Linked DNA regions of Mus musculus. The protein of the gene in region 1 interacts with the protein of each later gene in a pairwise test. Links are inferred from orthologs where the notes say so. Each region holds a gene or a part of one and is shown in the gene's direction. Other genes may lie near its edges.

The links. The genes of interacting proteins can lie anywhere in the genome.
Region 2: the proteins of Fndc11 (region 1) and Gpbp1 interact in binary tests that used the Homo sapiens proteins (3 or more experiments, as listed by UniProt). The link is inferred for Mus musculus from reciprocal best matches to the Homo sapiens genes FNDC11 and GPBP1.

The regions. Positions count from the first base shown.
Region 1 is NC_000068.7:181,218,464-181,222,890, forward strand, and holds Fndc11 (fibronectin type III domain-containing protein 11), read left to right. Parts: upstream 1-1,570; 5' UTR 1,571-1,671; intron 1,672-2,930; 5' UTR 2,931-2,940; coding exon 2,941-3,939; 3' UTR 3,940-3,986; downstream 3,987-4,427.
Region 2 is NC_000079.6:111,486,759-111,491,160, reverse strand, and holds the start of Gpbp1 (vasculin), read left to right. Parts: upstream 1-1,033; 5' UTR 1,034-1,443; intron 1,444-1,561; exon of another isoform or gene 1,562-1,693; intron 1,694-2,790; 5' UTR 2,791-3,738; intron 3,739-4,402. UniProt on the Homo sapiens protein: Functions as a GC-rich promoter-specific transactivating transcription factor.

The DNA.
Region 1 (4,427 bases):
TCCAGAGGTCATGAGTTCAATTCCCAGCAACCATGGTGGCTCACAACCATCTGTAATGAAATGTAATGCCCTTTCCTGTGTGTCTGAAGAGAGCAACCATGTACTCACATAAAATAAATGTATCAATCTTGAAAGAAAGAAAGAAAGAAAGAAAGAAAGAAAGAAAGAAAGAAAGAAAGGAAGGAAGAAAGAAAGAAAGAAAGAAAGAGAAAGAAAAATAAAAACCATCCCTAACTCCAGTTCCAGGGGATCCAATGTCCTCTTCCTACCTCTGTGGGTACCAGCCTTCTGTGGGAACCAGGCATGCAGGTAAAATGCTCATATACATAAAAATCAATCTAAAAAATTAAAAATTTTAAAACTAGGACTGGGAAAAAAAAAAAAAAAGACCGATCAAGTGGAGCAGAGCAGCTTTCACAGACCCAGAGCAAGCCCAACCCCTAAGAACAGGGTAGTGAGCCTCACCCATCTCCTTCCTGAGGAAGAGCTGGGCGCTGGTATTCTTCCTGCTGCTTTTTATTCTCTTCTACTCCCCAGGGGCCAGTTTCCCTCCTGGACCTTCAGATGGCATCCCTTTCTCCCTCAAACTGGCCACCATGACTAACTAGCCTAGATGAGCACAGAGCCAGCACCCATCGCTTCTCCCTCCTCCCCCTCCCCCTCTGGGGCCTCTGAGGTCTGTAGCCAATATAGGTTGACAGATAGGAAAACTATTCCCCAGCACCGTCAGATGCCATCAGGAGGGCTGGGAGCTCTAGCTATAATTCAAGTTGGTAGCAAACTTGAGTTACAACCAGGTAACTCAGTCCAGACAAACCCAATCTAGAAGGACTGACCGAGTGGAAAAGAGTCAGCAGCTTTCAGGTGGCTGAGACCCTGAGACCCTTGCTAGGAGTAACCCCAAGCTAGCTCATAAAGAGGAAGGACCTGGGTGTTAAATCTAGGGGTCCAAAGCCCAGTTTGGAGTATGAGACTGCAACTTGGGGATTCCTTTGAGGATTCCTAGAGCTATGGACTCCGTTTATTCAGACTGGAGGGGACAGGGCATGAGTTTCTGGAGGCCTGGGAAAACCAGACCCCTTCACCTTGCTGACTGCTTGCTAAGGAGATCCTAGCCATCTGCTGCTATATCACTTCCTTTCTCATCGTCTTTGAGACCCATAGGCGGCTGCTTGGCTTGGAATGTCAAACAGGTGGCCCTTCCCTGCACTCCACTGGCATCTGCTGGCTTCTTGAGTCCCAGCAGCCAGCTCTGTCCCACTCAAAGACACCAGTTTCCTGCGTTGCATAGAATCCCATTGCAAGCCAAGCTGCTGACCCAGCCACCGCAGGCTCCTGGACTGCTGCGAAACACGATGCCGAGGAACAATTCCACTAGCCCGTGGCGCGGGCTGAAGTTGAGTTTGTTTCGAGTCCGTGAGGCCCTGGACATAAATCGCTGCTGCCGTATATCAAAATTTAGCCTTCAAATCAAGAGCTCCTTACACCTGGGCCGGATGTGCACAGCGTCACAAGGGCCAGTGGTTCCCATGGCAACAAGTAGGCCTTTGGCAGGGGGAGCGGATCTGGCAGTGCACCCTGCAGCTCTGGCTGGGCTCCGCACAGGAAGCGGGCGGCCAGGCACTTGCAGAGCGGGGCTGGGGCTCACGGAGGTGATCCGGAAGAGGAGTGGTAGGTAGAGGAGTTTAGGAGGTGTGCCCAGAAGCTCGGGGTGGGTAGTCTCCACGGAGGGGGAGGGGTGATAGAATAGCTTAGATGGGGAAGTAGTTATGGAGACTTCCATTGAGCTTTCTAGCGGCCATGAACTGTTGACTCAGGGTCTTGGGGCCCTGATCTCAGCTAGCATTCAGCCAGGAACCATTCTCTGCTGTCTCAGATGCCTGTTCTAACCCCCCCCACCCCCCACCCCCGGCACGCACCACCATTCACACAAATCACTTTGAATTAGTCTTTGGGACATGATCAATCTTACTATCCAGCTGTGTGGTTTTGAGGTAGTCATCCAGTCTCTTAGCTCTGTTTCTTGCTCATCCAAGCCCAGTTTCCACAAACTGAGATTTCCAAGTGAAGCCACTGGCCCAGTGCCAGGGACAGCTAGCAGGAGGTTGGTACCTTCTCCAGGGATCTCTGGCTACTGGGCTTTGTGGCACACCAGCCTCTCCACAGACAACCAGATTTGGGGGAAAGGTATGGGGACAAGGAGAGGAGGGCTGACTCTGGAGTCAACAGTTCCAGCTTTGGGATAAACTGGGTACAGGAGCATACACCCCTGGAGTCCCAAGACTGCTTGAGCACAGGAGTTGGAGGGCAGCCTGAACAACAGACTGAGATGTTCTGTCAAAATCAAAAGTGACCATGAAGGAAGACCAACCTAACAAGCTTTAGCGTTAGACTCCCCCCAACCCCCATCTGTGAGATGGTGGGAGAGGATCTACCCTGTTCTTAGCCACACAAGGTCCCCCCCCCCCCCTTTATGTGAGGATGATGTAGAGTCTTGTCTTTGGTTAGCCTGGTCCCTGAGCATTGCACCCCTGCAGTGTACCTGGTCTCTGGAGAGTACTGGGAAGCATGGGGAATCACCCTAAGCTTGGGCACAGACCTGTGTTAGGTGAGGAACCTGAGACTTATGATCTGTCTCAAAACTAATCAACATCCCAGAGCTTCTCCCCAGGCTACTCTGGTCCCTGTAGCCCACTCTGTCTGATAAGCCCCATTAGCTCATCGCCACAAAATACTATTGGCCCCTTGATAGAAGTTTCCCGTTTATCATCTGCTTTTGCCCAGTACCCAGCCCACTATTCTGTCCCCTCCAGGGGTCTCTGATCAGAAAGCTGTGTCCCAGGGGAGAGCAAAAGCCATTATGGGGCAGAGGCTGATGAGGGGCAGAGCCAATCTGACGGTCACAGCTGATGCCTAGTTCTTACCCTCAGCTCCCAGACAATGAACTTCCAGGTGACAGGCCTGGCCCTGGACAAAATGAAGCTGGACAGTCCACATTCCTTCCTGGACGCAGAGGAGGTGGAGGAGGCAGAGGACCAGCAGCTGCTGGAGCCAGAGGCTTGGAGGACATACATGGAGCGCCGCAACGTGCTGCGTGAGTTCCTGACCACAGACCTGAGCCCCCAGTTGCTCAAGCGCCACCATGCCCGCATGCAGCTGCTCAAGAAGTGCTCCTACTACATTGAGATTCTCCCTAAGCACCTGGCCCTGGGTGACCAGAACCCGCTGGTGCTACCTAACACCATGTTCCAGCTCATTGATCCCTGGAAGTTCCAGCGCATGAAGAAGGTGGGCACAGCACAGACCAAGATCCAGCTCCTCCTGCTTGGGGACCTGCTGGAGCAGCTGGACCATGGCCGGGCAGCACTGGATGCCCTACTTGAGGCCCCTGACCCACGGCCCTTCCTGGCAGGCTGGGGGCTTGTGGAACAGCAGTTGGCAGACCTATCAGTTGTCATGGACAACTTCCTGGCCATGATGGTACCAGGACACCTGCATGTCAAGCACCGCCTGGTATCTGACATTGGAGCCACCAAAATCCCACACATCCGGCTTATGCTGAGCACGAAGATGCCAGTTATGTTCGACCGGAAGGAGTCAGTGGCGCATCAGGACTGGGTCAGCCTGCGCTGGTTTGTAACCATCCAGCCGGCAGCACCAGAGCAGTATGAACTGCGCTTCAAGCTGTTGGAGCCCAGGACACAACAGGAGTGTACACAGTGTGGCATAGTCCCTGTGGCTGCCTGCACCTTTGATGTCCACAACCTGTTGCCCAACCGTACCTACAAGTTCACTATCAAGAGGGCAGAAAGCTACACCCTGGTCTATGAGCCCTGGCGGGACAGCCTCACCTTGCAGACCACGCCAGGACCCCCTGAGGGGCCTGCCCCCAGGCTGGGTAAGCCCAGCCTGCCCCTGACCACACCTTCTGAGAGATGATTTTCTAATATTTATCCACTAATAAAGAGGAGTATACACACACCAAATTAAAGACACAACCCTACTTAGGCCTTAAGAAAGTAGCAGCTATGTGTTTTCCTGATGGCCCTACACCCCACAAGTCCCAGAACCCCTTTGCCTTCTGTCTCTTCCAGGAGAGCCCCCGGCTGGACTCTAGAACAAGAGAGAGCTGGCCACCGGTACCTGGCTGCTTCAAGGGAACTCAGCCCCTCAGCCTCAGCACCTTATGTACCCCTCATCCGGACAGCCAGAACCAGATTTCTTTCCCTGCCTCCTAGGTTGAGCTCTCTGAGGAAGATGATACTTTGGGCCTGTTTGGACACCACTGAGGGCAGTCATAGCTTTAGTGCTAGCATCCCAGCTGCCTTGGAAACAAGGATGCCCAGGACCATGATTTCTTACTTTTAAAATAAAGGTCTTACACTCTCCCCAAGTAAGATGAAGTGCCATAGGCACCCCACATGTGT
Region 2 (4,402 bases), on another chromosome or scaffold:
CTTAGACATTGGCACGATTGAAAAAAGCATCCTTTAGTTTTAAGCCCTTTTTCCCTTTGTACCTAGGGGGCAAGATGGGTAAAGATTGAGGTACAAATTAAGGCGAGTTTACATTCGGCGAACTTATAGGGGTAACGCACTAAACTACAAACCCTATAATGCATATAAAAAGTTTCTGGGAAATGACGCTCCGGTGATTTTCCCTCTTTAGGACGCTTCTCCCTCATTTCTTCTACTTTTTTCCTTTTAGAATTAAATCTCCAACCTTTCCAGAGTGAACCTTTGGCTATATGTAGAGAAAGTGAATACCGTAACTTTTTTTTTTTAAATAATCGTTTGTGCTATGCGGATACCCAGGACAACGCTGATGAAATAATCCATCTCCTTTGGAGTTATTAGAAATAGGAATTACTAGCGCGATGCTCTCTGGCAGCCCTTCGCACTCCGGGGGAACGGTGGCTGCAGCCGAGCCTCGCGCGCCTCCCTAACCCGGCTTCCGCGTGTTAACGTCCCGCACGCTCCGCGTGGCGCGCGACTGCGGCGCCCAATCACTCAGGCAGGGCCGGCTCCGCCCACGGAGCGCTCAGGGCCCGCGCCGAGCGGCCTGCGAGCCACGGCGGGCTTCAGGCGGAGCCGAACGAACGGCGCCCGCCGCCGGCCGTTCCGGGTTGCGCGGCGCTGCCGGGCAGACTCAGAAGCGCCGCACGCCCTGCGAGCCCGCCTGCCCGTCCGGACCGCCTGCGCTCGTCCTCTCCACCCCACCGTTCCCGAGCTCGGGGAGGGCCCGCGGCTGCACAGAGGCGCTCCTCAGGGAACGGACGGGAATTCCCCCTTCCACCGAACGTTCCGGATTGTTCACCGTCCTCACGTCAGCAGCAGGGGGTAATCCCCGGCTCCAGCTGCTCCTGACGTCACCGCGCCGAGACTCCGCCTCCCCGCCCCGCCCCCCGCCCCGCCCCCGCCCTTCCCCCGCGCCAGGCCCAGCCTCCGGGTCCTCCTCAAAGCCCCGCCCCCGGTCTAGCCCCGCCCCTTCCTCTCCCCCAGGCGCCGACGTAGAGGGCGGAGCTTCCCTGACCTGGGGCGTGAGCTGCTACTTGGGCCAGAAGGTTCTGTGGTGGAGGCCCTCCTCCTCCGGCTCCGCCCAGTGGGTTCGTTTGCACCGCGGCTTCCGCACCCTTTCTTCCTCCTCTTTTCCCCTCGCCCCGCCTCCCTCCTCTTACTTCTCAACCTCTCCGCTGCGTCCCCCCTCCCTCGCCACCTTCCACGATCTCGCGAGACTTGGCCCAGAACATTGCGGATCGGGTCGGCGCCATTTTGGGACTGAGACTGGTTGTGGGGGAGGGAAAAGCGGCAAAAGGGGATTATTCAAAGTACCGAAAACCTCCTCCCGGGATCGAGCGCAGCGGCACCCCCAGGCCAGGGGCACCTCTGGTGGGGCAGAAGGTAACACAGTCCCCTGGGCCCCGGACGGGAGTCTCGGGGACCGGGGGAGGGGTTGCCCGTGTCGGCGTTGGGGCTTGAGGGGTCGGGAGCGGCGTTGGTGGCGCGAGGCGTGAGGGTGCGGGCGGCCGGGGGGCGGCGTGAGGCGTGAGGCGCGGGGCGCCCGCCCGTCCTCCCTCCCTCCCTCCCTCCCCCCGGCCGGCGTTGACTCAGCCCGGCGGAGCGGAGGCGGCGGCGGCGGCCGTGGGGCGAGGTGGGCGGCGGGCCTCGGCGGCCGTGGTGGGGGGGGGTGGTGCTCGGCGGCGAAGGCCGGGAACGGCCGGGGCGCCCGCGGCGTCGGGCTAAGACCCCAGGCCCCGGCACGCGCGCCTTCCTGGGCCACCACCAGCAAGGCGGCCCCGGGAACCGGGGAACCGGGGGACCGGGGACTGGAGTCGCGGCGTGCGGAGCCGTGGACTTCCGCCGTGTGCTCGGCGGCGCTTCGCCCTCCCCGCCGCGCCGGGCTCCGTGGCAGTTGCGGTGGTGGTGGTGGCTGCTCGCCCAAGGCGAGCGCTCCGAAGTCGCGTCGGCTCCCGAGTCCGACGGGACCTGTTTATTTTCCCGGGGAGAGCACGGTCCTTAACGGGGTGGACGGGTCGCGTCCCGCACCTCCCACCCCTGGAGTTTTGGCCGAAACCTGTTTGCTTAATTTCAAGGGAATGGGGCCGAGCACCTGGAGCCGAGCGCTGCTCTCCCGGGCTTGGGAGTCAGCCCCCGGGCGAACCGTAGCCACTCGCCCTGCCACGCTCGCCTTGCCACGCTCCCCTCCCGCCCGCCGGCCTGCCCGCCGGCCTTCCTACTAAGCCGTAGTGGGGACAATCCAGCTGCTCCGTCCTCCGAGATTGCGTTTTGGAAGGAGCGTCACGCTCCTTTCCGCCTCTCACTCTCGGAGTCGGGTTCCCCGACGCTCCGTGGCAGCACCACCTGTCCATTTGTTTTCCTTTGGCACATGGGAGAGAATCGGGGAAGAGCACTGCTGAGACCGTGGGCCACTTTCGTAGTTTGAATATTTGCTCAAAGTTTTTAAGTTGGGCGCTTGCAACCTCCAGGGTACTACCTGCACCCAGTTCCCAGTTCAAATCGGAACTCTTCAGTGATATCGTCGCCCACAGTTTTCTAACTCCCTTCATTCAGTAGACTTCATCGAGGGCTAGGAAAAGACTTTTTCCCCAGCTCTCTTTTTACGGCTGTGTGGGAAAAATTTTTTCCCCAGAGGTTAAATTTTTTTCCAAATGGGGGTTAATTTTGATTTGAAAATAAAAACTGACTTAAGTTTTTTGTTTTTGTTTTTTCCTAATACAACTTTTACAGGTGGTTGAATTTGGCGTATGAAGATCATCATCTAGGTTTTGTTTAAAAGGCCCCGGATATTTCAAGTGGCCATTTTGGAATTACAGTTTTGTTTTTGTTTTGGGCAATTTTGCTCCAGAAGTTCATTAAAATTGACAAGAATCATCTCTGAAGTGAATTGATAGTAGTGAACAAATTCAACGAGCTACTAAAAGTCCCAGCCATTTCTTCAGTATTTTGGGTCAAACGGATTATATAAGTGGTTAAAGCATTTCATCTGGTGTTATTTTTGTCTCTTTCCCCTCTCCTGTTTGTGTTCTTCAGCCAAAACTGTAAGATATGTTTGATTTGTGTACCAAGTAGTTTCAGCAGTTTCAAATTACTGTTTAAATATTGCTGAAGTTTTGTGGCAGTTCTTTTTACCTTTATTAAAAGTTTTAGTAATTTTTGACTTCAGCTTTTTTCATATTACAATGGGACAGCTTTTCTAAATGAAGACATTGAAAGAATACAGCGTTTTTTTCTTTTTATCTTTTATTTACTTGGGAATGTAAGATGTTCCATTTTCACACCAGCATGGTAGTATTGAGATAGCTATTTGTCTATACACGCTGATGTTTAGAAGTAATCTTCAGATGTGAAATTTTTCTTTTTGTTTCTGCTTTTTGGCACATAAATTGGCTATTTCTTCTGGAGTGGATAAGTACAACAGTGACAAATACATGGAACAGTAAAGAAGACCTTGCTCTTAAATCCAAGGAACCTGGCTAACTCTGGATCTGACCATATGAAAACTTCAAAGTAAATATGGGTAGCTGACTTCAAGTAACTCTATGTCAAATAGTCATAGGTTAAGTATCTTCAAAGAACTTGGATATTTCAGAGGATACAAAATAAAAAAACAAACTGGAAAACATAAAGCTTATAGAGAAGAAATCAACACCTTCTTGTGCAGTCCTTTTGGAATTTGTAAGTACTTGTGAGCAAATAGATGTTCCTCTGTAATCTGTAATAAGAGTCAGATTGATCCCGTGTTATATTTGGAAACCTTTCAGTTTCTTGAAAAAAATGTTTCTGATTACATTTCTGGATAGTCTGAAAATAGCCAGCCATTTAGCTATATAGCAAATTGAAATGGGGATGATTTTAAGGTTTACAAATGTTTCAGACATTAGTCTTATTAAAAGTTTTTGTATTTTTAAAGTTGAAAAAACATAAATGCATCTGGTCAGTAATCACTTTCTGCTTTATGATAGCATATATATATATATATATATACATATATATATATATATAGAGAGAGAGAGAGAGAGAGAAATCACTTTCTGCTTTATGATAGCATATATATATATATAGAGAGAGAGAGCGAGCGGGAGCGCATAGTGCAAACGTAGGAAAGTCTACACAGTTGATGTCTGGTTGGTTTTATATTGTAAATGTCATGGGTCTTGATTACTACTTTATTTTCTAAGTGTGAGTTTAGACTGTATTACTAAACACATAGTTTAGAGATCTAGTTTAGCGGTAGTGTAACACAGAATAATGCAAGTTTGGTTTTAAATTTGATATCTTAAGAAATAGCTTGTTTTAAGGTACAACAATTCTATATGTTTAACACATTACAGACAAGTTT